Saccharomyces cerevisiae S288C: one gene and its partners. The gene in region 1 interacts genetically with each later gene. Each region holds a gene or a part of one and is shown in the gene's direction. Other genes may lie near its edges. The genes, in order: VPS21, PMR1, SEC27 and CHS5.

The links.
Region 2: mutations in VPS21 (region 1) and PMR1 together harm fitness more than expected from each alone (negative genetic interaction), as found in Saccharomyces cerevisiae (4 studies listed by BioGRID).
Region 3: mutations in VPS21 (region 1) and SEC27 together harm fitness more than expected from each alone (negative genetic interaction), as found in Saccharomyces cerevisiae (3 studies listed by BioGRID).
Region 4: mutations in VPS21 (region 1) and CHS5 together harm fitness more than expected from each alone (negative genetic interaction), as found in Saccharomyces cerevisiae (3 studies listed by BioGRID, with this or other methods).

Annotation. Positions count from the first base shown.
Region 1 is NC_001147.6:488,045-494,540, reverse strand, and holds VPS21 (Rab family GTPase VPS21), read left to right. Parts: upstream 1-3,712; coding exon 3,713-4,345; downstream 4,346-6,496. Other genes in the region: translation machinery-associated protein TMA46, read right to left, coding at 71-1,108; type 2C protein phosphatase PTC5, read left to right, coding at 1,700-3,418; YVC1 (Yvc1p), read right to left, coding at 4,807-6,496.
Region 2 is NC_001139.9:184,619-193,720, reverse strand, and holds PMR1 (Ca(2+)/Mn(2+)-transporting P-type ATPase PMR1), read left to right. Parts: upstream 1-3,252; coding exon 3,253-6,105; downstream 6,106-9,102. Other genes in the region: DNA-dependent ATPase RAD54, read left to right, coding at 1-14; YRB30 (Yrb30p), read left to right, coding at 421-1,743; CUP2 (Cup2p), read right to left, coding at 1,915-2,592; HUR1 (Hur1p), read right to left, coding at 5,925-6,257; SUA5 (threonylcarbamoyladenylate synthase), read right to left, coding at 6,382-7,662; SPO74 (Spo74p), read left to right, coding at 8,327-9,102. UniProt on the Saccharomyces cerevisiae protein: This magnesium-dependent enzyme catalyzes the hydrolysis of ATP coupled with the transport of calcium. Has a role in the secretory pathway.
Region 3 is NC_001139.9:245,630-254,600, forward strand, and holds SEC27 (coatomer subunit beta'), read left to right. Parts: upstream 1-4,239; coding exon 4,240-4,257; intron 4,258-4,457; coding exon 4,458-7,109; downstream 7,110-8,971. Other genes in the region: FLC3 (putative flavin adenine dinucleotide transporter), read left to right, coding at 87-2,495; YGL138C (uncharacterized protein), read right to left, coding at 2,865-3,902; MRM2 (21S rRNA (uridine2791-2'-O) methyltransferase), read right to left, coding at 7,268-8,230. UniProt on the Saccharomyces cerevisiae protein: The coatomer is a cytosolic protein complex that binds to dilysine motifs and reversibly associates with Golgi non-clathrin-coated vesicles, which further mediate biosynthetic protein transport from the ER, via the Golgi up to the trans Golgi network.
Region 4 is NC_001144.5:785,724-794,010, forward strand, and holds CHS5 (Chs5p), read left to right. Parts: upstream 1-1,940; coding exon 1,941-3,956; downstream 3,957-8,287. Other genes in the region: nicotinamide-nucleotide adenylyltransferase NMA1, read left to right, coding at 1-395; REC102 (Rec102p), read left to right, coding at 719-892, 990-1,610; JIP3 (Jip3p), read right to left, coding at 4,946-5,323; MID2 (Mid2p), read left to right, coding at 4,953-6,083. UniProt on the Saccharomyces cerevisiae protein: Component of the CHS5/6 complex which mediates export of specific cargo proteins, including chitin synthase CHS3. Also involved in targeting FUS1 to sites of polarized growth.

The DNA of each region.
Region 1 (6,496 bases):
TGTGTTGGTGTGTGTGCGTGTATTATATATACGGTGGCATATATACAGTTTAGTCTATATGAATTTTAGACTATGCGAGCGTGGCGGAGTTGGCTTTTTTGATGTCGAAGGTGGGGTTGCTACCGTCACCGTAGTCCTTGATGCCGCCGTCGTCTTGGTGGTCAGCCTTCTTCAAGGCATCTGTGAATTCAGTAAGATCCCATGCGGATCCCTGGGTGACGTCGTCTGGCATGTCGGCGTTGTCCGTCTCAAATGACTTGTTTTCGGCGCTCATCTTAAGAATGATTTCTCTACCAGTAGGTTTCCTCTTACTAGATAACTTCTTTTCAGCGTTAATCTTTGCGATGACGTGGTCCTTCTTCCATTGGGCGAAGTTGGCAATTGTTATTGGTGTTAGCTTGGATTTGTCTAGTTTCCCTCTTTCTGTTTCGATAAACTCCTCCAGCGTAATTTTTGGCTGTTTCTCGAGCGACTCCCTCTCGAGCCTCTTTTGCTCGTTGGTTTTCAGCACAAAGCCCTCTGGTAGGGAGTGTCTGTACATACATTTGTCACCTCCGTTAGGACAAATCCAAAACCAACCGTATTTACCGTTTTCCACGGCCTCGATGAAGTATTTGCATACTTTGTCGGTGGTGGTCTTTGGGTTACCGTGCTTCGACAGGATAACTTTTCTCAGCTTTTCTTCATCCCAGTTGTCCATTGTGTCATTTTCCTTTTCACTTCTTGTATCTTGGTATAAATCTTTCTTTTCCATTCTTCTACCGACGTTCAAGTCATGTGAGAACTTACATTTGGCACCTTTGTTACAATTCCCCAGTTTGAACAGAGCACAAACCATGGACTTGGGATCTACACCCGCACGAACCCTTTGGTCTGCTACAGGGTTGAATAGTGCTCTTCGTTCAGCTTCTTCGGCTTCTCTGCGCTTTTTTTCTTCGAGTTTCTTTAACCTCATCTCTTCTTTCTTGGGGTCGGATTGTGATTGCACTTGTTTGATGTATTTTTGGACTTTGGTAGAACGGTTCTTGTTCTTCATACCGAACGTCTTGTCGACATTATCCTTCTTCTTACCAGCCGCTTGGGCCTGTTTTCCCTTTTTTGGTGGCATCTTCGAAATATAACTTTCCTGCGATTTTATATGTGTAAAGCCCAGAGGTTTACTAATAGAGTGGCTTCCCTTGCTTTCTAGAAATAGTAAAACACATTGATTAAAAAAAGATATATTGTCGATTTTCACTAACTCATCGCTGGGGAACAAAAATTTTTTCATTATCATCACAGTTCATCATGTTCGACGAGCTACGTGCCAATTCATTTCCTCCACTAGTCTCCAACTTAAGAAATACTCTCAGAGGTTGCAATCTTGTGCTGTTCAGGGTGTGATGGGCAGCATTGACTAAATTTCCTTATCCCTTGCATAGTTACATTCTTAGTTATCAGGTATTGGCGACCAATTGCATACATTTTTATTTTCTACTTTAAAACTCAGTAATGAGCAGTTACCGGCCCTTCATTATGTAGAAAAACAGGATTCACTTCTTTCTACACAAGATACAAAAAAGAAAAAAAGGATCGATTGGAGGGTAAACGAAATCGTGTGATAGGCAGGAAAAGAAACATCTATTGCTACTTTAATTGAATTTGTGCTCTACTGAAATTTTTCAACAGAAGAAGTGCTTTTACTTCTCTCAATCTCTCCATGTCTCCCTTAACTAGAACCGTAGCTATAAAGAAAACGGTTAAGGTTCTATCTAAATGTCAATCTGGTAGAGAATACACACAGAAGTTTCTCCAACGTGCATATTCAACATCACATGCCAACAGCACATACTATTCAAGGACAAAGCTATTCATATCATCACATTCTAAAGCTCTAAACATTGCTCTACTAAGCGGGTCCCTACTGTTGACCTACTCCTACTATTCCCCTAAAAAGATCCTCTCCCTTGATACAATTAACGGAATAAAAGATTATTCTACAAATACTAGTGGTAACATTAACATGCCGTCACCTAATCCAAAAGGAACAGAGACACAAAAGAGTCAACGGTCTCAGAATGACCAATCTGTTCTTATCTTGAACGATTCTAAAATAGAGGCTAAACTACATGATAGAGAGGAAAGCCATTTTGTTAACCGTGGCACTGGTATATTCAGGTATGATGTGGCACAGTTGCCCTCTAACCATCCAATAGAAGACGATCACGTAGAACAAATCATTACCATTCCGATAGAAAGTGAGGATGGCAAGTCCATAGAGAAGGATTTGTATTTTTTTGGAATTTTTGATGGACATGGTGGTCCTTTCACTTCGGAAAAATTATCTAAAGATCTAGTCCGTTATGTAGCGTATCAATTAGGTCAGGTATATGACCAGAACAAAACGGTTTTCCATTCCGACCCCAACCAATTAATCGATTCTGCAATTTCGAAAGGTTTTTTGAAACTAGATAATGATCTTGTAATCGAATCGTTCAGGAAGCTGTTTCAAGATCCAAACAACACAAATATTGCAAACACTTTACCAGCGATTTCTGGTTCTTGTGCACTATTAAGTTTATACAACTCCACTAACTCAATTTTGAAAGTGGCTGTCACTGGAGACTCAAGGGCTTTAATTTGTGGTTTGGACAACGAGGGCAATTGGACGGTAAAGTCGCTATCCACCGACCAGACCGGTGATAATTTGGATGAAGTACGGAGAATTAGGAAAGAACATCCAGGAGAACCAAACGTTATAAGAAACGGAAGAATATTGGGTTCATTACAACCATCCAGGGCATTTGGAGACTATCGCTACAAGATCAAAGAAGTCGATGGAAAACCATTATCGGATTTGCCTGAAGTTGCCAAACTTTATTTTAGAAGAGAGCCAAGGGATTTCAAGACACCCCCATATGTCACTGCGGAACCAGTGATTACTTCTGCCAAAATTGGTGAGAACACTAAATTTATGGTGATGGGTTCGGATGGTTTATTCGAATTACTAACTAATGAAGAAATTGCTTCCTTGGTTATCAGGTGGATGGATAAAAATATGAATCTGGCACCTGTGAAGGCAGAACCGGGGAAATTACCAAAAGTTATCGATGTATCTGAAGACAAGGAAGCACAAAGACCGGCATTCAGGTACAAGGATAATAATTCGAGCTCACCATCAGGATCAAACCCAGAGTATCTTATTGAAGACAAAAACGTCGCCACTCATTTAATTAGAAATGCATTAAGTGCGGGCGGAAGAAAAGAATATGTATCGGCATTGGTAAGTATACCATCGCCGATGAGTAGAAGATACAGAGATGACTTGACAGTAACAGTGGCGTTCTTTGGTGATTCTGGAACACCCTCAATTGTCTCCAATGCTACTTCAATAGTTATGAACCCGGAGGCAACAACAAAGCCAAAACCTAGATTATGACGATATAAACTTATGCTGAGGTAGGTATATACCAGAGGATTTATTTTATAGATATTAGTCTGCTGATTATCTAGTTTCTTGTCACCTCATACGTGTTTTTTTTTTTTTTGGTTTTCTCGGTTTGCATTATGGGGCTTTTTGCTAAAACAATATCCCCGAAAAGACAAAGAAAGAGAAGTGAGGTGAAAATACGAGCAGCTTATCTTATAAAAGTGGCAACGATTTTAAAAATAAAAAGCAAGATCGTCGACTTATCTAAGCTATAAAAAAATATCCCTTTTATCACACAAAAAAATGAACACATCAGTCACTTCCATAAAGTTGGTACTGTTGGGTGAGGCAGCAGTTGGTAAATCGTCAATAGTCCTAAGGTTTGTATCTAATGATTTTGCCGAAAATAAGGAGCCCACCATTGGTGCAGCATTCCTCACTCAAAGAGTTACTATAAATGAACATACTGTTAAGTTTGAAATATGGGACACTGCTGGGCAAGAGAGATTTGCATCTTTAGCACCTATGTACTATAGAAACGCACAAGCTGCTCTTGTAGTATACGACGTTACAAAACCACAATCCTTTATTAAAGCGCGCCACTGGGTTAAGGAATTACATGAACAGGCATCAAAGGATATCATCATTGCGTTAGTTGGTAACAAGATCGATATGCTGCAAGAAGGTGGGGAAAGAAAAGTCGCAAGGGAAGAAGGTGAAAAGCTAGCGGAAGAAAAGGGCTTGTTGTTCTTTGAAACAAGTGCAAAGACAGGAGAGAATGTTAACGATGTATTTTTGGGAATCGGTGAAAAGATACCACTGAAGACGGCTGAAGAGCAAAATAGTGCAAGTAACGAACGTGAGTCGAACAATCAAAGAGTGGATTTGAACGCTGCTAATGATGGGACCAGCGCAAACAGTGCTTGCAGTTGTTAGAGAGGGGAAAATAAATATATATAAAAAAAAAGTCTGGGCAAATTGAGATAAATAGATCTTCAAAACGGGAAAGATGAAAGTCATAATTTATCGTACCTAGAAAGGAGAGGGAGTTTTCATTTTTTACCGTAATCGTTGTTTTTCTTTTCTTCTTATAATTTGTAAATTTTTTAACTGCATTAGATCATTATATTATCTTTCAAAACGCCAGTCGTTTTTATTAGACCTTTATATACGTTTCAAAGTGGTTTGTACACGTTAGTTTAGTTAAACTTTTGTTTTCATGTAGACCAAAATATAAACTTATTTTATGCCGAAAATCGGGAGATGGATTAGTTAATATTGTAAATAATGATAAATTAAAGGAACATTAAATTTACAAAGTTGCAATGAGGAGCAATATATATATATATATATGGATTTCTGAGAAATTAATTAAGCAGTATTTGAACACATGTCGTTTACTCTTTCTTATCCTTTATGTCTAATTTTTCGAGTAGATCGGTAATTACAGCTGTCAAGTTTTCCACTTTCTTAGTGAGCTCTTTGACTTCATCTTTATCTTCACCAGCATCATCTTCAGTGTCATCGTTATCATACTGTTCGAAGGAGGGACTGCATTTTTTAACGTTTTTATACCACTTCTTAGGGACTTTAAAATGGACATCTTCCTGCTCTGCTGTTCTTTGCAGTTTTAGCGAACGGGAATTCTTTAACTGGGTGGCTCTCATGCCAGAATTTCGGTTATCAGAAAACAAACCGTCATCATCATCCAAGTAGCCATCTGTCAAATCCCATGGAGTATCATATTCATTGGCATCATCGTTTAACCTTTTCATCCTGTTATATTTTATCCTTCTAGCCTCCCGAGTTTCTTTAACAGAAATAAGCAACAAAAATGGGCTGTACACTATTGTCATTACAGTATAGCTCAAATCTTTAGCACGCTTCGGTGGAAGAATACGAAAGATAGGTGTCATGAACACTTCAATTAAGTTCAATGGAGAAACATAGACATCTTCATCAGGTGCTCTAATGTATCTCAACGTCTTTTGTGACATCAAAGCCATGTACTCGTCATCTGCATTGTCAATAACTTTTTGGTACGCAGTCGAATACAAAGCAATTAATATATTCAAAAGGATAACCGAAACAATAAAATAGTAACCATAATACAGTATTGCCGCATATGGGGGAGCGAATTCTTCGAAAACATCAAAACTACCAAGACCCAAAACGGTGATTGTTAAATTACCCAGGATGGGTCCGGTGATATCTCTCTTACCATCTGCGGAATCCAAACCTAAGAAACCTTGAGTGAATCCTATCATTATTAAGAATAGAAGGAAGAAAAATACAATGGATTCTTTCATCATATGTTTTAGGATAACCAACATAATCCCAATAAACCTTTGTGATTCAAGGTATAGTAGGAGTCTCGACCACACAAATGGTGCTGCACAGGATAAGACTCTATATGATATTTTATCCCAATCTTCTGAAGAGTATTTTGCATTAAGGGGCGTTACGCTCATTGCACGGAACCCCATAGCAAACGTGATTATCAAATATGTGGTATCATTAAATAAATTCCAAAACGATAGGTGCGCATAACCAATATAATAAAGCTTAGTGAGCTCATCCAAGATGAAACCAGTATTGAAAACATAAAATATGCTTTCTAACAAATCGAAAGATTGGACTCTCTCAGAGTCCTTACCATTAACCACCAAGGTATAAAGCCCTAGAAACAAAAATGAGAAGATCATCTGCAAATAATTTTGGTATACAGGCGCCTTTAATCTTACGGGGTTGAAATGAGAGATCAATGACACTTCCGCCAGTGAATCGTCCTTGATAAAAGTTGTGGGATCCAAGCCATTTTGGACTATCCATCCTCTCCATATCCATTTTAAACAACGCTGAAATCCACTCGATCCTATCACTGTAGTACAGTGCATATCTGTGGCAAGTTCCAAGGCATTCAACGGTTCTTGATCTTCATCGTTCTCGTTGATTACGTACCGACGCAGCAGTAACTGCATGAAAAGAAACTGCAGGTCTCTTGTCTCCTCCCTTTCAATTAACAATTTACATAACTGTTGTGAGGCTAAATTTCTGGTTTCGTAAAGTTTGGCATTGTGCACTTCC
Region 2 (9,102 bases), on another chromosome or scaffold:
ATATTTCACATTGATCTCTTACATACATGTACTTATAAAACAAAAACAAAAAGTAGAATTCGATCGTCGGGGGGTCATTACATATTTATTTTAAATGATGGGCATGGTTATATATATTTAGACGTAATAAACAATTGAAAATTGGGGCCAAATTGGTAAATATCTCTATGTATTTCAATCAAAAAAGTATAATCGTATAACTTAAGGGTAAAAAAAGTTGAGCGATGTCATATTATACTTGTGCTAGCTTTTAAATTTTTCATTATCTTCAGTTTTATCGTGGTAAAGTGCCAGCCGAAACTGCCAAAAAAGATTATGGCAAGAAAATCTCACGCTGTCAGGGAAATAAAAATCTGATACAGTTTCACACTCTCAGAAGGATTAACTTTAACTATTACCTAACACCAATATCTGAAGAGAATGGATGAAATTCTTGCCAAAGCAGGTTCACAAGCCGTTACATTTGCTATAAAATCCGGAATATCGATAGCATCCACATATGCGCTAAAGACAATAACGAACTTTGTCGTCCAGATTCCTAAGGATGATGCTAGAAGAATAGATCAACTGAAATTTAAACTGGAAAGCCGCATGGCTATTGTATCCAGTGCAATTGACCTAATAAAGCTGGTAGCGGCGAGGGGAAACACGAATTTGCAAATCACTCTGAGGTTAACCAAGGATTTAAAAGAAGAGATTGATAGGTTTGATGAGAAGATCAACGAAATGACGCAGAAAGTTGAGGGTTCCAGGAGCGCAAAAACACAGAATGAAGCTATTAAAGCGGTAGAAAACTATATAAAGGACTTGCTATTGAGGATCGAAGAAATCACTCCATTCATTAATCTTTCTTTAACCACTTCTGGTGCCAACTTGAACAGCGCACTCCCATATCAACTTTCTCCTGGTTTATTATTAAAAGCCTCCGATTTCGTTAGCGAGAACAATAGAAAGTATGAAAAGGCAATGAAGAGTAATGAGAAAGGAACAGGTGACAAGGAGATTCTAAAAGTTCAAGTGGGGCCTACATTTGAGGTTACACTATTCTCTATTTTCTATAACCTAACTTCAGAAAACAATGGGCAATCAGGAATTGTTTGGAAAGAGGATATGAAACGTGCAAAAGCAAGGATATATAGATTGAACTCTACAGGCAGAAAGTATGATTATTTTATGAAAATAGAACAAGACTTCAATGACGGTAGATATCATGAGGATGATGACAAAGAAGACACACCACAGGAACTTGCCATAGATCTGAACCATATTAAGAAGCTGTTTTTCAGTGTTTCCGGTAAGCTTCTCCGATTAGAAGAACAGGATTCTCCAGTGTTGGTATTGAAGATTGACCGGAGCGATGACAAAGAAAATGAGAGCAGTGAAGGAGACAAGGGATTACTCGATGACATTACTTGGTATGCGGTAAGCGGATATGAAGCGATAGAGGAAGATGAAGAGGAAGATGAAGAGGAGGACGAAGAGGAAGGAAAAGACGGAGAAGAACGAAAGGAAGAAGAAGAAGAAGAAAATAAATTGGAGGACAAGGATTCGTCGATCACACTACTGGAGTACATCATTCGGCTGACGTCCTTACAAAGTAACGATCAGAAAAGTATATTGGAAGTGAGTGATGAAAGGTTATCTATATATTTGAACGATGAAAATACGAACTCCAGAAAGGATAGAATAAGCAATTCGACAATTGAAGAGACAGAAAAAAAGTTAAAAAACCTAAAACTTTAGGATGGTTACGTATCCTGTGCAGCCTTGGACAAATTTTATAATTGTATATATCTATGTATATGTATACGAATGGAAAAATTTATCCGAATCTCGGCCCGACTGCCAGCTTGCCGGGAGAACAAACAACCGCCAATATATGTATATGTATATTTATATAGATGTCCAGATGCATTATTGTGAATGTGAGTTATGCGAAGATACTTGTTTGTATAGCTCGTTCAACTCATTGATGGAGAATGGAATGTCAATATCGTTTAGTGCTGTGTTCGTAGTTGTATATGCGCTTCCTGTTTCATTGATACTAACAGGTTCCATAGATATACTAGGGCTTTGCTCAAGCGGATCGAGGGAAGCCAAATCAAGATTGTCAATGCTGTCGGCCTTAATTTCTCCGTTTTGCAGAGGTGGCTTCAAACTCGGCAATGTGGTTGTCATGTCTACATCCGACGAGCGACCATTTAGGCCCAAAAGAACGTCCAGATCTGCAATACCGAGACCATTGACATGCGCTGCTTCATCATTTGCCCTTCTGTGGCATGACCCTCCCTTTGATTTCCGGCTGCTTTTCCTCTTGGTATGACATTTACAAGGTTCACCCTCATCACAACGACATCGTGTTTCATCTTCCTTGCTGCCAACAGCTGGCCGTCGTGCAGAGGCACACATGCACCCACCGGATGGGTTGAAGTTCTTGGTTCTTCTCAGCTCTTTACAATGGCCACATGTGGTCGATGGTCTTCCCTTGCGTCTGATCATCTGTAGCGGACCATCAGTGTGAGTACACTGCGCCGCCCTGTGACCCCTGATACACGTTTCACAGGCATATTTGACCCCGTTAATTACGACCATTCTGTGAATACACTGATTATCAGTCCTCTTTTATCAAGCCGCCGTCTAATAAATTACATCGCCATGGCTACTGCTATTTCGTCCACAGCTTAATACTTACCGAACCAGGCCTTGCGGCTCTTACCCTGCGTGCCCGCGCACCCTGGCGACTTCGCCTCGTTTTGGCGATTTTCTTAGCAAATATTCTTTCACGATCGTAGTGGTGGAAGGTGGGTGAAAAGAGTTGCGTTCCTAGCAAGGATCGGTTGGTATCAATTGCACGTTCAGCTCATCCCTAGATAACCACTTAACAGCAAAGCCGATCGTTAAACTTTTGTATTCTACATTCTAGTTGCATTTTTTTTTTTTTTCATTTTGTTACATCAAGACAAGATTCTCTATTTAAAGAAGTACTTTTTTTGTTAACAGTGTGGACCCTACCTATCGTTATATCGAGATCTTGTTCCCTAGGCCATCGTACACTATAGCCCTTCCTTCAAGCACTTAATAGAAAAACCTCTTTTTCTACACCATCATAATAGTGTTTGCTCGCCCCGTTCTTTCCATTCCCATTTATAACAATACTAGTAACTATAATAATATCCTTACGACTGGGCAAGACAAGACGAAGCAAGGCCAGCACAGACGTAAGCTTAAGTGTAAGTAAAAGATAAGATAATTATGAGTGACAATCCATTTAATGCGAGTCTTCTTGACGAGGACTCAAACCGTGAGAGAGAAATACTAGATGCCACAGCAGAGGCCCTTTCGAAACCAAGCCCTTCTTTAGAGTATTGTACTTTATCCGTGGACGAAGCTCTAGAAAAACTGGACACTGACAAAAACGGTGGTTTACGATCATCTAACGAGGCCAACAATAGGAGATCACTTTATGGCCCCAATGAAATAACCGTAGAAGATGATGAAAGTCTTTTCAAGAAGTTCTTGTCAAATTTCATTGAGGATCGAATGATTCTACTTTTAATAGGATCCGCAGTGGTCTCTCTTTTTATGGGTAACATTGATGATGCTGTTAGTATCACACTGGCCATTTTCATAGTTGTCACTGTCGGTTTTGTCCAAGAATATAGGTCTGAAAAATCTCTAGAAGCGTTGAATAAATTGGTTCCTGCTGAATGTCACTTAATGAGATGTGGTCAAGAGAGTCATGTACTGGCTTCCACCTTGGTTCCTGGTGATTTAGTGCACTTCAGAATAGGTGACAGAATCCCCGCAGACATTAGAATTATTGAAGCAATCGATTTATCCATCGATGAAAGTAATTTAACTGGTGAAAATGAACCGGTACATAAAACCTCACAAACGATCGAAAAATCTTCCTTTAACGATCAGCCTAATTCAATTGTACCGATTTCTGAGAGATCTTGTATAGCTTATATGGGTACATTAGTCAAGGAAGGTCATGGTAAGGGTATCGTCGTAGGAACAGGTACAAACACATCCTTTGGTGCCGTTTTTGAAATGATGAATAATATTGAAAAACCGAAGACTCCATTGCAGTTAACAATGGACAAATTGGGAAAGGACTTGTCACTGGTTAGCTTCATAGTTATTGGTATGATTTGTTTAGTTGGTATCATACAAGGTAGATCTTGGTTAGAAATGTTCCAAATATCGGTATCCTTAGCGGTTGCTGCTATTCCAGAAGGGTTACCAATTATTGTCACTGTTACTTTGGCATTGGGTGTTCTGAGAATGGCCAAGCGTAAAGCCATCGTGAGAAGGTTACCAAGTGTCGAAACTTTAGGCTCTGTCAACGTTATCTGCTCCGACAAAACAGGTACACTAACCTCAAACCACATGACCGTATCTAAACTTTGGTGCTTGGACAGTATGTCCAATAAGCTAAACGTCCTCTCATTAGACAAAAATAAGAAGACTAAAAATTCTAATGGAAATTTGAAAAACTATTTGACTGAAGACGTTAGGGAAACTCTAACTATCGGTAATCTCTGTAATAATGCATCTTTCTCTCAAGAACATGCCATATTTCTGGGAAATCCTACTGATGTAGCTCTTTTAGAGCAATTGGCAAACTTTGAAATGCCTGATATCAGAAACACCGTTCAAAAAGTTCAGGAACTTCCATTTAACTCGAAAAGAAAATTAATGGCAACCAAGATTCTCAACCCTGTCGACAATAAGTGTACAGTTTATGTTAAAGGTGCATTTGAAAGAATTCTTGAGTACTCCACAAGTTATTTGAAATCAAAGGGTAAAAAAACTGAAAAGTTGACTGAAGCCCAAAAAGCTACGATAAATGAGTGCGCAAATTCTATGGCATCTGAAGGTTTGCGTGTCTTTGGATTTGCTAAACTAACTTTGTCTGATTCATCAACTCCTCTAACCGAAGACCTAATCAAAGATTTAACCTTTACTGGTTTAATCGGTATGAATGACCCACCAAGACCGAACGTTAAATTTGCCATCGAACAATTACTACAAGGTGGTGTCCATATTATTATGATCACTGGTGATTCTGAGAATACCGCAGTAAACATTGCAAAACAAATTGGTATTCCAGTTATTGATCCAAAGCTTTCCGTTTTATCCGGTGATAAATTAGATGAAATGTCAGATGATCAACTGGCCAATGTCATCGACCACGTTAATATTTTTGCTCGTGCTACGCCTGAGCATAAGTTAAACATTGTTCGTGCATTAAGAAAGAGGGGTGATGTGGTAGCAATGACTGGTGATGGTGTTAACGACGCTCCTGCGTTGAAACTTTCAGATATTGGTGTTTCTATGGGTAGAATTGGTACAGATGTAGCCAAAGAAGCCTCAGATATGGTCTTAACTGATGATGACTTCAGTACTATTTTAACTGCCATTGAAGAGGGTAAAGGTATCTTTAATAATATTCAGAATTTCCTGACTTTTCAATTGTCTACTTCTGTTGCCGCACTATCATTAGTTGCACTATCTACAGCGTTTAAACTACCCAATCCACTGAACGCAATGCAAATTCTTTGGATAAATATTTTAATGGATGGGCCACCAGCTCAATCCTTAGGTGTGGAACCTGTTGATCATGAAGTTATGAAAAAACCTCCAAGAAAACGTACCGATAAAATTTTGACCCATGATGTAATGAAACGTTTACTAACCACCGCGGCCTGTATCATCGTTGGGACAGTTTACATTTTTGTTAAAGAGATGGCCGAAGATGGTAAAGTAACTGCTAGAGATACTACTATGACATTTACTTGTTTTGTTTTTTTTGATATGTTTAATGCTTTGGCCTGCAGACATAACACAAAGTCAATCTTCGAAATCGGCTTTTTCACGAACAAAATGTTCAACTACGCCGTTGGACTGTCTCTGTTAGGTCAAATGTGCGCTATATATATACCATTTTTCCAAAGTATCTTTAAAACTGAGAAACTTGGTATCTCTGATATACTATTGTTATTGCTCATCAGCAGTAGCGTTTTCATCGTTGATGAATTGAGAAAATTGTGGACGAGGAAAAAGAATGAAGAAGACTCAACGTATTTCTCAAATGTTTGATATGTCACATTTTGTGCTTTTATCGTTTTTCCTTCCTTCCCTTTATCTTTCATGAGGACGCCCAACCCTATTGAGGTAAATGTACTAATTAATGGGAACATATGTAGATGTATATATGTACATATATTTACAACGGATACTAAGATAAACATGTATGGGCGACTTTTCGTATATACAAAGCAATATAAAATTTTATTCTTTCCTTCTTTTTCCGGACTAGATATAAAATCTCCGTAATCAGTGGTTATGATTTTCAAAAGTTAATCACAGTTTTATTTAAAACTGTATACAATTATTTGCAGCCGCCTTTCGCAATCTGTTCATAACAGCTAATCCTTCTCCTTCCTCATTTATACCTTCGACAAATATTAGGTCTACTTTATCATTTTCATCCACTTTTCTTAAAGCTGCAAACAAGTTAGTCTGTATTTCTTCACCAGATTGGCCAAGTCTTTCGATGATGAAAGTTTTCGAAGAAAAATCGGGTTCATTAAAGATCTTAGATTGTAAGTCGGAATCACGTAATTTTAGGGAAGTTAAAATCGCAATTTTTTTTATATTACTGTTGGCTTTTAATTCCGTTTCGATTAACCTCTTTAATCTTTCCATCCTATCAACGCCCTTAAGAATGCCATCGCCTTCGCAATGAGGAACTAGTAAAACAACTTTAGCTGAAGGGGAATAGTGTCTATACTTCATACCAGGCGTTCTTACCTTTTCGCCCTTTTCAACTGTTTTCTTATTCTCAACTTTACAAAGAGACCAAGCTTCACCACCCAATTTAACAATTTCTTCATATGTAAAACCGCCAGGTCGCAGTAGCGTAGGAGGATTACATAACCCATCAACAACAGTACTTTCTACACCAACCTTGCACGCTCCGCCATCAAGAATTATGGGAATTTTATCCTTTAGATCATGATAAACATGAGACGCTAAAGTAGGAGATGGCCTAGTAGACGCATTCGCTGAAGGAGCAGCTATTGGTGTATCGCTCAGGGCAATCAGTGCTCTAGCCACTGGATTAGCGGGTATGCGTACCGCAAACGTAGGCTGATCTGCGGTCGTTAACTTTGATAATGCACTATGCTCTGAAGATGGAACTGGCAAAAGAATTGTTAATGGGCCAGGCCAAAGGCTTGAAATTAATGGGCGATAGATTGAGGGTATGTTATCAAACAAGGATGTACCTGATAGATGCGGTTGATTAAAGACCTTTCTGTTAAGTTGATCAATGGATGAAACATGTGTAATCAAAGGATTGTCACTAGGCCTATTTTTGGCCCTGTATATACTAAGCACTGAATTATCATTTAAAGCAGAACCTCCAAGACCATAAACAGTTTCGGTTGGAAAAGCCACAGTCTCATCTGTATCTCTTATTATCCTCGCCGCTTCAACTAGCGCTGCTTCCGTTTCAGGATCTGTTATCGTTGGTAAGGAACCATCTATATGCGCATCAGGGGAGAAAATGATTGATAGCGGGTTAACTTTTAAGATCTTGGTATCAAACAGTGCTTTCGATGTCATTGCCAAAAAATGTCGTCCAAGGTACATACAATTCTAAAAATGGAATAATAAACAGGACTACCATTAAAAATGGAAACAGGTTTAGTGGTAAGTTAACAGCGCAGAAGAAAAAAAAAATTTGAGGAGAAGAATAAAGCTCTCGCTTCAAATATTATCAGCTTCAATAGGTATGTGCGATGAGGTTACTATCTTCTGGGTGAAAAAATAGTAAGGCTAGCGTAGATAATGATTTGAAATTTCTCAAAAAAATATTTTTGATACATATAATAATTTTGAAGCCTGAATTTTTCAACGAAATAGCCTTGTTGGCGCAATCGGTAGCGCGTATGACTCTTAATCATAAGGTTAGGGGTTCGAGCCCCCTACAGGGCTATCTTTTTTAGGCTCAAATCAAAAAAATGTCTAATATATTAAATTCTACTTCCTTTTTATATCTCAAAGAAGAAGGCATTTAACCCCATTCATATGGTTTACACTTGTGTTGAGATTTGTTGCTTGCGCTTCTTTTATCCTTTTAAACCGCTTATTTATCCTTTCCAACGATAAGGCTCAAATGACATCAATGTTCTCTTTTGTGTCACAAGAAATATAAATAACAACAATAAAACATTAGGTATTTAGTTGGAAGTCAAACTTGAAACTCTTCCCGGTTATGTTGTATTGGCAAGGAAAGAGCTGAATTGGTTGAGTGATGGGAGCTGGCACTCTTTTAAATGGATTAGAAAAGGAAAACTTTCCAAATAACATCCATTCAGATTTGCCTGCGTATCCTAACATGGATTCTCAAGAAGATGGCAATACTAGTAAGGAAAGTAAAAGAAATAGTCCAGTAAAACAGAAGTCCCAAAAAGATGAAGAAAAGTCATCTAAAATGGGGACTGCAAGCAACATATTCCATGAAAATAAAGATATACACGAAAGATCTGAACACACGGACGATTTTAATGATGGCTTAAAACTGGCTCCGGACTCTAGTCCAAGCTTGAAAGAGTGTCAATTTAAAAATTGGGAAAGTTTTTGGTGTAATACAGAAGGTTACAAAACTAAACACATGCAGCCCTTTCATTTTACAAGCGGATTAGAAGAAATAAAGGAACCGGTCATGGAATTGAATATTTCCACTTCACCATACAAGGGACAGAGGCCAAATTCAGCTCCAACCGAGTATTCAGCTGCCACAACAGCGTTTACCAAAACACAATTAGAGGTGAGTTTTCTAAAAACCAACTTGCTTACATACATTAAAAAAGAGATTGACATTTGCTTGTCAAGTGTTCCATTTTTTGACGACGCAGTTCAAATGCAAAAGAAATTCTTGGAATACAGAGATATTGACTTGGATGAAGAATATGAGCTCAAAATTTTGGGGGAACTTTTGAATGATTTAAACTTCTTTCATATGCAAGAAAACTCTTTGCTAAATAGAGAGCTAGCAGTTCGTAGATTCTCCAATCAACCTGAAAGTCA
Region 3 (8,971 bases), on another chromosome or scaffold:
ATAAAAAAATTTCAACAACAACAACAACAACAACAACAACAACAACAACAAATAGTGGAGACTAGAAAAGTATACCCCTCACAGGCATGAGATTTCTTCAGGTTTATAAATCATCGGCATTAATTGGACTAATAATATTGTTAGCCAGTAAAGTAAATCTTGCAGAGGCAAAAAGGAAGCTGGTAGCCACATCATTGGTCACATGTATGGAAAACTCGCAGCTGTCAGCAAATAGTTTTGACGTTGTTTTCAATCCAGACGACAGGTCATTACATTATGATCTTGATATGTCAACTCAAATTGATTCATATATTTTTGCTGATATTGATGTCTACGCATATGGTTTCAAGATCATTACTAAAAATGTCGATCTTTGTTCAATCAACTGGAAACAGTTTTGCCCGGTTCACCCAGGTAATATTCAGATCGACTCTATTGAATACATCTCCAGTGAGTACGTAAATGAAATTCCTGGTATTGCATACCAAGTCCCCGATATCGACGCATATGCCAGGGTCAAGATCACCAACAATGTGAGCGAGTACCTAGCATGTATCCAAATATACTTCTCAAACGGTAAAACAGTTTCTCAGATTGGTGTAAAATGGGCAACTGCAGTGGTAGCGGGAATTGGTCTTTTACTATCTGCCATCTTATCCACTTTTGGGAACTCTACCGCAGCCTCACATATTTCTGCCAACACAATGTCACTTTTCTTATACTTCCAATCTGTTGTCGTGGTTGCCATGCAACATGTTCATCGAGTTCCGCCTATTGCAGCCGCCTGGGCGGAAAACTTGGTTTGGTCAATGGGGTTAATTAGAATCTCATTCATGCAAAGGATTTTCCGGTGGTATGTGCAATCCACTGGTGGTACGCCTAGCTTATATCTGACTTCAACATCTATGTCTGTTTTGGCTCAAAGAAGTTGGCAATATTTGATGGAGCTCCCATTAATCAAAAGAGCTACCAATGTTTTGTATGGTAATGCAAATACATTAATTTTTAGAGGAATCAAAAGGCTAGGCTATAAAATGGGAATCGAAAATACGTCCATCGTTTGTACCGGTTTTACTTTCTTCGTCTTATGTGGATATGTGTTGGCTGGATTTATCATAGTATTCAAATGCTGTGTGGAGTTAGCCACCCGGTTAGGATGGATCCAAAAGGCAAGGTTTTGGGAATTCAGGAAACAATGGAGAATGATCTTAAAAGGTGCTCTTTTAAGATATATTTACATCGGTTTCGTTCAGTTAACAATTCTCAGTTTTTGGGAATTTACTGAAAGAGATTCACCTGCTGTTATCGTCATCGCATGCCTTTTTATTCTTTTGTCATGTGGGTTAATGCTTTGGGCTGCATGGAGGACTGTTTTTTTCGCAAGAAGATCTGTTGCATTGTACAACAACCCAGCAGCCTTATTGTATGGAGATGAATATGTCTTACACAAATACGGATTTTTCTATACAATGTTCAATGCCAATCATTACTGGTGGAACATTGTTCTTTTATCCTACATTTTTGTAAAATCATTATTGGTTGGATTTGCTCAGGCTTCTGGTCAAACACAAGTTCTTTTCATGTTCATATTGGATTTGTTTTACTTCGTTGCTATTATCTACTATAAGCCCTATCTGGACCGTCCAACAAACATAATGAATATTTTAATTGCTACTGTTACTGTAGTTAATTCCTTTCTATTCATGTTTTTTTCGGACTTGTTTAACCAAAGCTACAAAGTGGCTGCTATTATGGGATGGATATTTTTCATTATGAACGCTGCATTTTCGTTCATTTTACTAATGATGATATTGGCATTCGCTGGTATGATGCTTTTCTCAAAGAACCCCGATCTAAGATTTAAACCTGCTAAGGACGATAGAACTTCTTTCCAAAGGAACACTATGAAACCAGAAGGTACTGTTAATAGATCAGTAGCGAACGAGTTGCTTGCGTTGGGCAATGTGGCAAAAGACCATGACGACAATTCAGATTACGAATCAAATGATACTGGTGTGAATGATGAGCTAAAGCAAGCACAGGATGAAACCACTCCCACAACCGTAACATCAAGTGATGATAACAAGCCTACGTTTTCAGAGAAAATATTAAGTAAATTCTCTAGGCCTAAGAATGAAAACGCAAGCACAGATGCTCTGAGAGTTGAAGCTCCAAAACAACAAACGTTTCCTCACAACTTAACGAATCTTTCACGAGAAAACCTATCAACATTAGGCTCTAAACCTTATCCAGGACACACAAGATCACAGTCTGATGCGCATAATGGACTGATCAATTCCTTTGAAGAGGAAGATACAAGTTCAAATACCGATCCATTTCACGACTCCACTGAAGGAGACCTTTTAGATACCTCAAGTTCGGACGGAGGATTTAGGTCGCAAAACTATGTTCGAGATGACAGCATAAATAGTTTGGGAAACAATAAACAACCACTGAGGAAACCCCCTGGATTCTTCGATGAAGGATTTATGTGAGTCTTTACGATATACAAAAGTTCTGCTCCTATCATAAAAATTTTTAATTTTACAGGTTTTTCTCATTCTCCTTCTAACCTTCTAAATTCTGTTTTTGTCAGAAGTTTCCCAAGTTTTCTTTTTCATTAATAACGTTAAAACACTTTGTACCAGTTTGCTTAATATGAATTTTTTTAAAATAGATAGCTTTTGTTATCTTTGTTTCTATGTTGTAATATCCCAGTTTGTCATATTTTTAATACTCCTCGTGTAACAACAAATTAAAAAAAAATAAATACTTAAATTAATCAAGTTAAATAAACTAATCGAATCAAACAAACAATTTATTATAAAATTATGTTTTTTCATGAATAGGAATGTGTAAGTTGTTCAGTTCTTAAGAGGTATCTTATTTTTTAACATCTTTGAGATCTTCCTCCTCAAATATTTCCTTCTTGTAATATTTCCACTATTAGAGTTTCTATTATGTGCGGCTATCGCTCTTATTAGTGCATCATGAGGCCTTTCTATGTTTTGCGCAATCCGATTTATTGTACGGTCTAGTTTTTCATGAAAATTCGGGACATTTTCATTCCCAGAGCTATCATATTGCTCCATAGGATTTATTTCGTTTATCCAAGACATTTCTTTGTTTTTAAACTTTCTTAAGTTTTTATAGCTCTTCCAAAACTCCGAAGTTAAGGATTTATATTCCAATTCGTTTGATATGTTCTTATCTGAATGGATGAGCATCTCATATTTGGACATAGGAATACTTAACGAATGTAGATAAGGTACCACCTTGGTGATTCTTCCTTTAATTGACCAAGATATTTTGTAATCTCTAATATCATCAGAAATAATAGGCGTTAATGGAATAGTTTCAAAATTGTTCTGAGTGGGGGGATGCGTCTTTGAAGAATTGCAAACAAATACGAATCCAACAAATTTATTAGGAAAGTAAAGGGTTACATTACGCTGTGTATATTTCTGCACCCTTGCAAACTTGAAACATACTGAGCTGTTTTGGGAGATAGTATCATCCTCCTGGGCTGGAATGCATAGTGGTTCTGCCCAATCTAAATCCTTTTGAAAGGGTAGAATATGATTCCAAATTGGCTTTCCTCCTTTACAAAAGGTCACTTGAAGAAAATTATTGATTTGCAAGGGCGCTACCTGGTATTCATATTGTTTTTCAATTACAAAGCCTGTGTACAAAGTACTTTGTTTTTTGTATTGTTCGTACTCCTGCTTCAAGTTCTGTAACTTGTCACCTTTAAGAACATTTAAGAAGAACTCTGTCTGGAAATTTTGGTCTTCGAACTTACACACATCATGTCCAGGAAATGAACTTTTTCCTTGAACGAAAGTGCTCTTAAATAAGGTGTACGTTATAAAAAAGAAGAAAAATTCTAAAAAGTTGTACATTCATCCGAGGAGCACTTTGGATATTATAATCTATTTTTAGTTTTGTTGCTTTGTATTGAGCTGTATAAAAATCATTAGATCCACATTACTAATTATTGAATATGGACAATAATATCAAATATATTATTATCAAATTGATTATTTTGTGACGCGGCGTCAAATTTTAATCGCGTCTGACGAATGAGCGGGTAATAAACTGTCTTTTTTTCATGAATGAATCGAGCTGGCATTAGGAACATGTCGTGTAAGATTTGGGAGTAAATAACAGAAAGCTGCAATAAATGGTAGCTTGTAATGGTGAATTAAGACACCCAATCGAAACAATTATACGGACACGATGAAGTTGGATATAAAGGTATGTTACCAGAGCGCGTTTTGCCAATGCAATTGCGAACAAGCTCCGACAACTCCTATGATTAGGAAATGATCTCGTTCGCGAAGAATACAAAGCCTGCAAAAAGCAAACATTAAGATTAGTTACTAACAGGAAGATTTTTGAAATAAATGCATTTGCTCTTGGCATTTCCTTTATTTGACACTGTACATTTATGATAGAAAACTTTTAGTAATAGATCCGATCGAGTTAAAGGTATCGATTTCCATCCTACTGAGCCATGGGTTTTGACTACCTTGTACTCTGGTCGTGTTGAGCTTTGGAATTACGAAACACAAGTTGAAGTTAGATCCATCCAAGTTACGGAAACTCCTGTTAGAGCAGGTAAATTCATTGCAAGAAAGAATTGGATAATTGTTGGGAGTGATGATTTCAGGATCAGAGTCTTCAACTACAATACAGGTGAAAAAGTTGTTGATTTCGAAGCTCATCCAGACTATATCCGTTCCATTGCTGTACATCCAACAAAGCCTTATGTTTTATCCGGCAGTGATGATTTGACAGTCAAACTATGGAATTGGGAAAATAACTGGGCCTTAGAACAAACTTTTGAAGGTCACGAACACTTTGTCATGTGCGTCGCATTCAATCCAAAGGATCCTAGTACGTTTGCATCTGGGTGTTTGGACCGAACCGTTAAAGTTTGGTCATTGGGACAATCGACACCAAATTTCACGTTAACCACAGGACAAGAAAGAGGTGTGAATTATGTTGATTATTACCCGCTACCTGACAAGCCTTATATGATTACTGCGTCGGACGACTTAACCATCAAAATTTGGGATTACCAAACGAAGTCATGTGTAGCCACTCTAGAAGGTCACATGTCCAATGTTTCTTTTGCTGTTTTCCATCCAACTTTACCCATTATAATTTCTGGTTCCGAAGATGGCACTTTAAAGATATGGAATTCTTCCACTTACAAGGTAGAAAAGACTTTAAACGTTGGTTTAGAAAGAAGTTGGTGTATCGCTACCCATCCAACAGGACGTAAAAACTACATTGCATCCGGGTTTGATAATGGGTTTACCGTACTTTCCTTGGGAAATGATGAACCAACTTTATCACTTGACCCTGTCGGTAAGCTAGTATGGTCAGGTGGCAAAAATGCCGCAGCTTCAGACATTTTCACTGCCGTCATAAGAGGTAACGAAGAAGTTGAACAAGATGAACCATTATCTTTACAAACTAAGGAGCTGGGTTCCGTTGATGTTTTCCCTCAATCTTTAGCCCATTCTCCAAATGGTAGGTTTGTTACAGTTGTTGGGGATGGTGAATACGTTATTTATACGGCGTTGGCTTGGAGAAACAAAGCCTTCGGTAAATGTCAAGACTTTGTTTGGGGCCCCGACTCCAATAGTTATGCTTTAATTGATGAAACTGGGCAAATTAAATACTACAAAAACTTTAAAGAAGTCACATCATGGTCTGTCCCAATGCATTCTGCTATTGATAGATTATTTTCAGGTGCCTTGTTGGGTGTGAAGTCTGATGGCTTCGTCTATTTCTTCGATTGGGACAACGGTACGCTAGTTAGAAGAATTGATGTTAATGCTAAGGATGTCATTTGGTCCGATAACGGTGAGCTGGTGATGATTGTCAACACCAATAGTAATGGTGATGAAGCAAGTGGTTACACATTATTATTCAACAAGGATGCTTACCTTGAAGCAGCAAATAATGGCAATATCGACGATTCAGAAGGTGTTGATGAGGCTTTTGACGTATTGTATGAACTAAGTGAATCCATTACATCAGGCAAATGGGTTGGTGATGTCTTTATCTTTACCACAGCAACTAACAGGCTGAACTACTTCGTAGGTGGAAAGACTTATAATTTAGCCCATTACACAAAGGAAATGTATCTATTGGGCTATCTAGCACGTGATAATAAAGTATATTTAGCTGACAGAGAGGTCCATGTTTATGGTTACGAAATATCTCTAGAGGTGCTGGAGTTCCAAACATTGACTTTAAGAGGGGAAATTGAAGAAGCCATTGAAAATGTACTCCCAAATGTTGAGGGTAAGGACTCTTTAACAAAAATTGCTAGATTTCTGGAAGGTCAAGAGTATTATGAAGAAGCACTGAATATTTCCCCTGATCAAGATCAAAAATTTGAGCTAGCCTTAAAAGTCGGCCAACTTACGCTTGCTCGCGATTTGTTGACAGATGAAAGCGCCGAAATGAAATGGAGAGCCTTGGGTGATGCTTCCTTACAAAGGTTCAATTTTAAACTTGCTGTTGAAGCTTTCACAAATGCACATGATCTAGAATCTTTATTTCTATTGCACTCATCTTTTAATAACAAGGAGGGGTTGGTCACTTTAGCTAAAGATGCTGAAAGGGCCGGTAAATTCAATTTGGCTTTTAATGCATATTGGATCGCTGGCGATATACAAGGCGCTAAAGATCTTTTAATCAAGTCTCAAAGGTTTTCCGAAGCCGCTTTCCTTGGATCAACATACGGTTTAGGAGATGATGCAGTCAACGATATTGTTACAAAATGGAAGGAAAATTTGATACTCAACGGTAAGAATACTGTATCAGAAAGAGTTTGTGGGGCCGAAGGTTTACCAGGCTCTTCGAGTTCAGGAGATGCCCAACCACTCATTGACTTAGATTCCACTCCAGCCCCAGAACAAGCTGACGAAAACAAAGAAGCTGAAGTTGAGGACAGCGAGTTTAAAGAATCCAACTCAGAGGCAGTTGAAGCCGAAAAAAAAGAAGAGGAAGCTCCCCAGCAACAACAATCAGAACAACAGCCGGAGCAAGGAGAGGCAGTGCCGGAGCCTGTGGAAGAAGAGAGTTAACCACCTCATAGAAAGACAAATAAAGAACTAATCAACGAATGAGAAAACATCTTTAATGGATGGTAAACATATATATATACAGATGTACACTTTTTATTTTTATTGCGATAGGTGTGAAAATGAACGTGACTTGAAACTTTGCGCGCAAACAAATCATATTATGAATTACTAAACACGTCCAGTTTATCTACATTTCTTTTCTTCTTTAATCCGATATAATAGGTCTCCTTTGATTCGTCTCTAGAAGCGTCAGGCTTGAACTTATGAACGTTAGTGAAAACTGCCTGCATTCTTTTTTTAAATAGGTTTTCTTCTTCGCCGGTGTATAGTTTACAAACAAACGAACCTAATGGCCGTAATAAATCTATAGCCGTAACTAAGGCTGCGTCACATAAATCAATAGATTGGTAATGGTCTCTTATACTGACACCAGATGTATTAGCCATCCTAAAATAAGCTTGATTAGTAATGTTGTTCCAAAAACCGGTTGTTTGGGGCCAGGGTTCATACATATCACTTATAATCACATCAACTGGGAATTTTTCTCGTTCTATTAGGGTACTATTCGTATTCGGAGTTTCATAAATGTCATCAGAGGTGAAAATTTCACGGTACAATTCAGTATCTTTCACATGGGTTAGCTCCTCCTCGAGCATGTTCTGGAAATAGCCATGGTCCTTATGCAAATCATCGTGTCTGTTCAATTGGAAATGCTTAGAAAAAAAGAGCCGTATAAGATCATGAGTTCTTTTGGCCAATATATTAGCTTGAATAGAGTTCACACCATGCGGAGGTTCACAAGGGAGAATGTCAACGCCCAGTATCATTGAATTAGGTGAACTTCTTTGCCGTGCTACTTGGGACCAAGCCCCAGGGGCATACCCAAGATCTAGAATTCTCTGATCGGTCCTGTTTTTGCTAAAAAGCCGATATTTATCATCAATCTGCATAAGCTTGAATGCGGCTCTAGACCTCAGATTTTGGACCTTGGCCTCTTTTGTGTAGGGATCCTTCAGTTGTCTATTCAGCCATCTGTTTTGTGAGTTAGAATTATACCGTACATGTATTCGACCTAAAGAAGACGATATTATACTCCTGATACGATTGTACACTAAAATCATGCTGTAATTTTCCCGTCAGTATGTGTAGTCATTACTTCAAACCTCGGATAAGCCCATCTTGATGGCTACGACTTCCATCTATATCAGAGGCTGACATTTTTCTCTCATTGACGGAGACGCCCTTTAACCGGACCTGATCATTTTTAAAAGAACGCCAGTAAAAGAGATCTTACAAATACCAGAGAAACGGTATTGAACCTTCTTCTTTGATTAGAACAAATTACTTGATCTTCTTTTTTAAAAAAGAACTGAAAAATCAAAAACGATACATGAAGATGGTATGTAAGTTAGCTAAATAACTTGCTTAATTTCAAGAAAGGGGACTGTAAAAAATTCAGTTTACTCTACCATTATCTCCATTAACATATCAACTTTTAGATCGCAATGAAGAAGACTGCGTTCATAAACCTTACCTCATAAGGCCAAACAGCTATCAGCTTTTGGCAAAAGTTGAATACGGACATTTTTGAACCCATACATCTTTCAATATGCACGGGTGCAACCTCAAATATTTAAAGTTTTTTTTTCCTGAAACTTTTTTTTCGCACACAATAATGCCATAGACATCTTTTGGCCTCAGATTGGAAAGTCCGAGGAAGAAAGACGCAATCAATGGGAAGAGTGTTGTATTTGGATTAAGATATGTAAGTACATCTTCGCAGCACTTCTTGAGCATTACGTTATTTGGTAACCTCTTGAAGTTTCAGGAAAGACTCCATAGAACTAGTCGCAAGCCTCACG
Region 4 (8,287 bases), on another chromosome or scaffold:
TAGCTACTGTTACTGGAGAAAAAATTGGTGTGAAAATAATGTTGCTGGCTGGTGGTGACCTAATAGAGTCAATGGGTGAACCAAACGTTTGGGCGGACGCCGATTTACATCACATTCTCGGTAATTACGGTTGTTTGATTGTCGAACGTACTGGTTCTGATGTAAGGTCTTTTTTGTTATCCCATGATATTATGTATGAACATAGAAGGAATATTCTTATCATCAAGCAACTCATCTATAATGATATTTCTTCCACGAAAGTTCGTCTATTTATCAGACGCGCCATGTCTGTACAATATTTGTTACCTAATTCGGTCATCAGGTATATCCAAGAACATAGACTATATGTGGACCAAACCGAACCTGTTAAGCAAGTTCTTGGAAACAAAGAATGATTTGCCGTCCGGAATTGCTTCGTTCTTTCTTTCATCTTTCTCTTTACAATTTCCAATTTTCCCCTACAGGAATTAATTGGAGGGTACAAGCGAGTAGAAATGTGACATATGACTTACCTATCTGTGTTTTAGTATAGTTTTTTTTTCTGTAGTATAATTCACTTTTACACTAATTTTTTCGCCTTTTTCTCTTAAAGAGCTAATTTCTATAACCTTCAGCGGTTATACCAAATATAAAAAATGGAAGGAAAACAAACAGTAAGAAATAAGCGCAACAGCACGTTAGTTCACCATTGGATTCCAACATTTCAAAATTTAATCTAATGGCAAGAGATATCACATTTTTGACCGTATTTTTAGAAAGTTGTGGCGCTGTAAATAATGATGAGGCAGGAAAATTGTTATCTGCTTGGACTTCAACCGTACGCATTGAGGGACCGGAATCAACCGACTCTAATTCATTATATATTCCACTGCTACCACCTGGAATGTTGAAAGTATGTTTCTCCTAGCAAAATTAAAACCCATCCGTGAATGAAGCGTTACTAACTATAATAACTGGTAGCTTTGTCACTCGTACCAGGAAAAGTGAAGATTAAACTGAATTTTAAAATGAACGATCGATTAGTTACGGAAGAGCAAGAGTTGTTTACAAAATTGCGCGAGATTGTAGGTTCAAGTATTCGCTTTTGGGAGGAACAACTGTTTTATCAAGTTCAAGATGTAAGCACCATAGAAAACCACGTCATTCTCAGTTTAAAATGTACAATTTTAACGGATGCTCAGATAAGTACGTTCATAAGCAAACCCAGAGAGCTTCATACGCATGCCAAAGGATATCCTGAAATCTATTACCTTTCCGAGTTATCAACAACTGTCAATTTTTTTTCTAAAGAGGGAAACTATGTCGAAATAAGCCAGGTTATTCCTCATTTTAATGAATATTTTTCCTCTTTAATAGTGTCTCAATTGGAATTTGAATACCCGATGGTCTTCTCCATGATTTCAAGGCTCCGATTGAAGTGGCAACAAAGTTCGCTCGCTCCGATATCCTACGCCCTAACGAGCAATTCAGTACTTCTTCCAATAATGCTTAACATGATTGCCCAAGACAAATCTTCAACAACCGCGTATCAAATTCTGTGTCGAAGAAGAGGTCCTCCAATTCAGAATTTTCAAATTTTTTCCTTACCGGCTGTAACGTACAATAAGTAGCATGCATAAAATATAATTTAATCAAATACTTTTGGGCAATTAAAATTTTAGTTAACAATAGTTATGCAATGCGCTTTATGTTCATATGATACCGTTTATAAGCTATTGCCATATCCTTATCTTATTGCTTCCAGTAGCCTCGAGTCGACCACTAAAAAGATGTCACTTAAGACGGAAATTATGTAGCTGCACTTCTTTTTTAACAAGTTCGGTCGGCCCTTCAAGTTCTCCTTTCTAAAGCCTCATTATTTATTGCGTAGATGCTAAATGTTATCGCGGTTTAGCTTGCATGTTACGTTTCCGTTTTAGAACCTGGTCGAGTAGCGAATAATGTCTTCAGTTGATGTACTGTTAACAGTAGGTAAGTTGGATGCCTCATTGGCGTTACTGACTACTCAGGATCATCATGTTATTGAGTTTCCTACAGTATTATTACCAGAAAATGTTAAAGCTGGATCTATCATAAAAATGCAAGTTTCACAAAATTTAGAGGAGGAAAAAAAACAAAGGAATCATTTTAAGAGTATACAAGCCAAAATTTTGGAGAAGTATGGTACCCATAAACCGGAGAGCCCAGTTTTGAAAATTGTTAACGTTACGCAAACGAGCTGTGTTCTAGCATGGGATCCATTGAAACTTGGCTCAGCAAAATTGAAATCACTGATCCTTTATAGGAAGGGAATACGTTCAATGGTAATTCCAAATCCATTCAAAGTGACTACCACGAAAATATCCGGTCTTTCCGTTGATACGCCATACGAATTTCAATTGAAACTGATAACCACGTCAGGAACATTATGGTCTGAAAAGGTTATATTGCGTACACATAAGATGACTGACATGTCTGGTATCACTGTATGTTTGGGTCCATTGGATCCATTGAAAGAAATTTCAGACTTACAGATATCCCAATGTTTGTCTCACATCGGGGCGAGACCTTTACAACGTCATGTTGCGATAGATACTACGCATTTTGTCTGTAACGATCTAGACAATGAAGAAAGCAATGAAGAGCTTATAAGGGCAAAACATAACAACATACCAATTGTCAGACCGGAATGGGTGAGAGCTTGTGAGGTTGAGAAAAGAATCGTTGGTGTTAGAGGATTTTACTTAGATGCAGATCAAAGTATACTGAAAAACTACACATTCCCACCAGTTAATGAGGAAGAACTTTCGTACTCAAAGGAGAATGAGCCGGTAGCCGAAGTAGCGGATGAAAATAAGATGCCCGAGGACACAACAGATGTCGAACAGGTTGCATCACCTAATGACAATGAGAGTAATCCTTCAGAAGCTAAGGAACAAGGAGAAAAGAGTGGACATGAAACTGCCCCAGTAAGTCCTGTAGAAGATCCATTGCATGCTTCGACGGCTTTGGAGAATGAAACCACCATCGAAACCGTCAACCCCTCCGTAAGAAGTTTGAAAAGCGAACCTGTTGGTACTCCCAATATAGAGGAAAACAAAGCGGACTCTTCCGCAGAAGCCGTGGTAGAAGAACCGAATGAAGCTGTGGCTGAAAGTTCTCCAAATGAAGAAGCAACGGGACAGAAAAGTGAGGATACCGATACACATTCTAACGAACAAGCTGATAATGGATTTGTACAGACTGAAGAAGTAGCTGAAAACAACATAACCACAGAAAGTGCAGGGGAAAATAACGAACCTGCAGATGATGCAGCAATGGAATTTGGACGTCCAGAAGCTGAAATTGAAACTCCAGAAGTAAATGAGTCTATAGAAGATGCCAATGAACCTGCGGAGGATTCCAATGAACCTGTGGAGGATTCCAACAAACCTGTGAAGGATTCCAACAAACCTGTGGAGGATTCCAACAAACCTGTGGAGGATTCCAACAAACCTGTGGAGGATTCCAACAAACCTGTGGAGGATGCCAATGAACCTGTGGAAGATACCAGTGAACCTGTGGAGGATGCCGGTGAACCCGTACAAGAAACCAACGAGTTTACTACCGACATTGCCTCTCCAAGACATCAAGAAGAAGATATAGAACTTGAAGCCGAACCTAAAGATGCTACCGAAAGTGTTGCAGTCGAGCCATCCAATGAAGATGTAAAACCAGAAGAAAAAGGTTCAGAGGCAGAAGACGATATCAACAACGTTTCCAAGGAGGCTGCCTCTGGTGAGAGTACTACCCACCAAAAAACTGAGGCCTCTGCTTCTCTTGAAAGCAGTGCCGTCACGGAAGAACAAGAGACAACGGAAGCCGAAGTAAATACAGATGACGTTTTGTCCACTAAAGAAGCTAAAAAAAATACTGGCAACAGCAACAGTAATAAGAAGAAGAATAAGAAGAATAAGAAGAAAGGGAAAAAGAAATGATTAATGGATGCCTTCAATGAGTTCCACGACGCACGTTTATTTTTTCGACTGAGAATCCCTCAGCAAATATAATCTATTTTTTATATATCTGTGTATATGTAAGCATGTATAACTAGTTACAAATATGATAACTGCTTTGGCGATCACTTCATTTTCTTGAGAGGGGTACTCAGTAGCCGCCAAGCACGAAATGTCCGTTATTAAAAATTGGGGAGTGAATCTTAAAAGCCCGAAAAGGAAATTCAAAATCTGTCTATTTATAGGCCGTCGCGCTCTACGAAAACGCGAAATTATTCAAACGGAAAACGGAAAAAAATCTAAAAAAAGAAATTAATTGAGAGATCTCACGGAAATGCCGCGAGGAATGTTTCTCGAGGCTGAGCGGCGTGGTCTGTGCAAAAAAATGGCAATTTTTTTGTAGGAGTTTGCATTGGGCCATTCAGAAGGAGCACCGTTAGATGGGATGGTAAATGAATTTGCTGTTTCAGATTTGAATCAATCTTTACCCGTTATTTTTGCCGTTTTGCTTTCATAATCTGCAAATTAACAAAGTCATAAAGAACATAAAGACATCACCCCAGTTTTTACACTCTTTTTTCCTGTGTTTGGTTTAGCACAACTTTCCAATAACCAAGTTGGTTTCAGATCATCCCCATATTATTTTCTAGTTTCATTTACTTACCAAACTCACCATTCAAGGCTTTCAAATTAAGTTACGAGTACAGTGGACCATTTTTTTCTGATTCTTCATATTTTCCGTTATAAGTCTTATAAGGAAGGTATACATTTATATTGCGAATTTGAAAAATAATTTAAAGCTGACTTTGCGTTTTAGGTAGGCTAGAAAAGAATACAACTATCCCTAAACACATTCTAGATTCACGAAGACGCCTCTGCCTCAAAGACATACTATATTTTTACTCTCGTTGAACAAATAGTACCATTATTTCGCTACTTTCGTTGAAGATTGGACATATAAAATACGCAAATCATAGTATGTTGTCTTTCACAACCAAGAATAGTTTCCGCTTATTACTTTTAATACTGTCATGCATATCGACGATACGCGCACAATTTTTCGTGCAATCATCATCTTCGAATTCTTCAGCAGTATCTACTGCACGTTCTTCCGTAAGTAGAGTTAGTTCTTCAAGTTCCATTTTGTCATCCAGTATGGTTTCTTCCTCAAGTGCTGACTCATCTTCCCTTACTTCATCGACATCAAGTAGGTCCCTCGTGTCACATACGAGTTCGTCTACCAGCATTGCCTCCATATCGTTCACATCATTCAGTTTCTCATCAGATTCAAGCACCAGCAGCTCTTCCTCTGCTTCTTCAGATTCTTCATCCTCCTCATCCTTTTCCATCTCTTCGACATCCGCAACTTCTGAATCATCGACGTCTTCTACGCAAACGTCAACATCATCTTCATCCTCACTGTCGTCAACGCCGTCCTCTTCATCATCCCCATCAACAATCACTTCTGCACCTTCAACCTCCTCCACACCATCCACTACTGCCTATAATCAAGGAAGCACTATCACCAGTATTATTAACGGTAAGACGATTCTCTCAAATCATTATACTACCGTTACGTACACACCATCAGCAACCGCTGATTCAAGCAATAAATCCAAAAGTTCGGGTCTTTCTAAAAAAAATAGAAACATCGTCATTGGTTGTGTGGTTGGTATTGGTGTACCACTGATTCTGGTGATACTGGCTTTAATTTACATGTTTTGTATCCAATCATCAAGGACGGACTTTATTGACTCAGATGGTAAGGTCGTTACGGCATATAGAGCTAACAAATTTACGAAATGGTGGTATATGCTTTTGGGTAAGAAAGTTAGTGATGAATACCACTCCGATTCACCATTAGGTGGTAGTGCATCGTCCGCAGGTGGTTTAGACCTAGATGAAGCAGATGATGTGATGGAGCAAAGCTCCCTTTTCGACGTCAGAATAAGAGATAGCGATAGCGTATTACCAAACGCCAACACCGCCGACCATAATAATACCAATAGCGGTGGAGAGCCTATAAATAGTAGCGTTGCGTCAAATGACATAATAGAAGAAAAATTCTATGATGAACAAGGTAACGAATTATCACCACGAAATTATTAATCATATCCATTCATATCATTTAGTGCTTATGGCTACTTTTCATTCCTCAATTATTGTAAATTGACCATCTTAATTATATTTCTGATATTGAGTAGGTGGACTTCATTAGTATTTTTACAAATATTATCACCTTCTTATGTAGGATTAGCATTACATACCCTCTAATTAAAAAAAGTTAACATTAATTACATTTTAAAAAAAATTGTAATAGTATGATAGTAGGACCTGACAGCCATTTGAATAAGGTTTCGAGTGCTTTAACGTTCCACTGATTTTATGTAGTTCATATGGGGGTTAGTCTGGTTTGAGGAGGAGAATTTCAGGGAAGCAGTGGCCGTTGAATCTCCCTGTAGGGCGCTGATTATTTTTATCCTAATAATCCAAAAATGACAATGTCAATAAAGAAAACTTACCGAGTTCTGTGAATTTCTCCCTAAAAAATTACTAATTATACCTGGGCGAGTTTTGAACTCTTTGGCAAATAAACTTGGGGTAAACCTTTCGATTATAAAGACGTTACTGCTCAAAAATGTGTAGAAGCATAAGGAGATATTCTCTCGTATGTTTAATTGGAGTTGGCTTTTTTGGACTCTGAAGTTTGAGTATGGGAGGGGAAGTAATCGAGATTAGATTCCCTGATGTTCACATATGGGGATAAAGAATGCTTTTTGGGATATGATTGTTTCTTTCCGTCGTTACGGTTGTAGGTGCAACGAATTGCGTAAGGGTGGCTAGCCGAGATTTAATGACGACGCAAAAGGGAATAACTGTGACAGGAAGATGAATTCACAAAGTTTATAAAAAGAAAGGGCGATGCACTGCTACATGGTTGAACAAGGCACTACATAATTCACAGCTTGTAGCTTGTAAATAAAAAGAGCATTCACGCGATATACGATTTTCAATGATCACTCTAAGAGGAACGGCGAAAAATAGAATTCAATATGAACTGGAATGGCAATTATGATCAGTTAAATATACAATATTGTTGTTGCAATTGTATTACATTTAAATAAGAGCATGTATGTGATAAATTACTGGGAATTTATGGTATAGGTTCCAAAACGCCACCGCCCAAAACATTGTTATTAATGAAATAAGAATCAACGATCTTCTCAATCATTTTTATTTAATGGGTATTGAAATGAAAGGATTGATAATGTAATAGGAAGATGATTGACCCAGAAATTATCTCAAAATTCGCCTATTTCTCAGTTATATTAACCTGCTTATTTTAACTTTAAAAAAAATTGGAAAGTTTGCATTCTACGTTTTAGCTTTTCCGTATAAAAATTAGATAATTTGACGTTCAGTATAAAAAACGTATCGTAATAGGTTTGCTTATTGGAACGTTAAGGAAAAAAATAATAAAGAATTCATTTTTTTCCTTTTTAACCCACCTCTTTCAATCCACCTATACAACTCATTATTAGTAGAGTATTATTCTACCGTTTTATACAGATCATATCGTGTCTTTTGCTATGCTAGGTTGAAACAAGGTAAGATACGTTAAACGACAACGGCTATGTTGCAGGCGAATCGCTAGCGATTATTTAAAAGATCGTAAACTATAACTGAGAAAATAAAGAGACGTAATCCAAAGTACTAGCAACACTCAACATATATAATTGTCAATACTTTAGGAAGCTACTATTTAAGATCAGGTACGTAGAAGCAGACGAACAGATTCGAGTTTCGATCTCCTTTCTGTATTGTATTGGTTAGGTTACATCTCGGTGGAAGGCTGTCGTATCTCAGAATGAGATACGTCAGTATGACAATACATCATCCTAAAAGTTCATAAAACACACATGAAACAACCTTATAAGAAAACGAACAGAGTGAGTAACATGAGATAAAACTCCGCCTTCCTTGGCTGACCCACCCAAACATATAAATGCCTGAACAATTAATTTGGATCCGAGGTTCCGCGCTTCCACCATTTAGTATGAATCATATTTATGTAGTATATAGGATAAGTAACATTTCGTAAATCAAGCTGATAATCCATTTTGACAACTGGTCACTTCCTCAAGACTGCTTATATTAGGATTGTCAAACCACCTTACTATGAATTGCGTTTTGACACAGGAAACGCTAATGTAATATAATCCGTGATAGTTTAATGGTCAGAATGGGCGCTTGTCGCGTGCCAGATCGGGGTTCAATTCCCCGTCGCGGAGATTTTTCATTTTTTTTTTTTT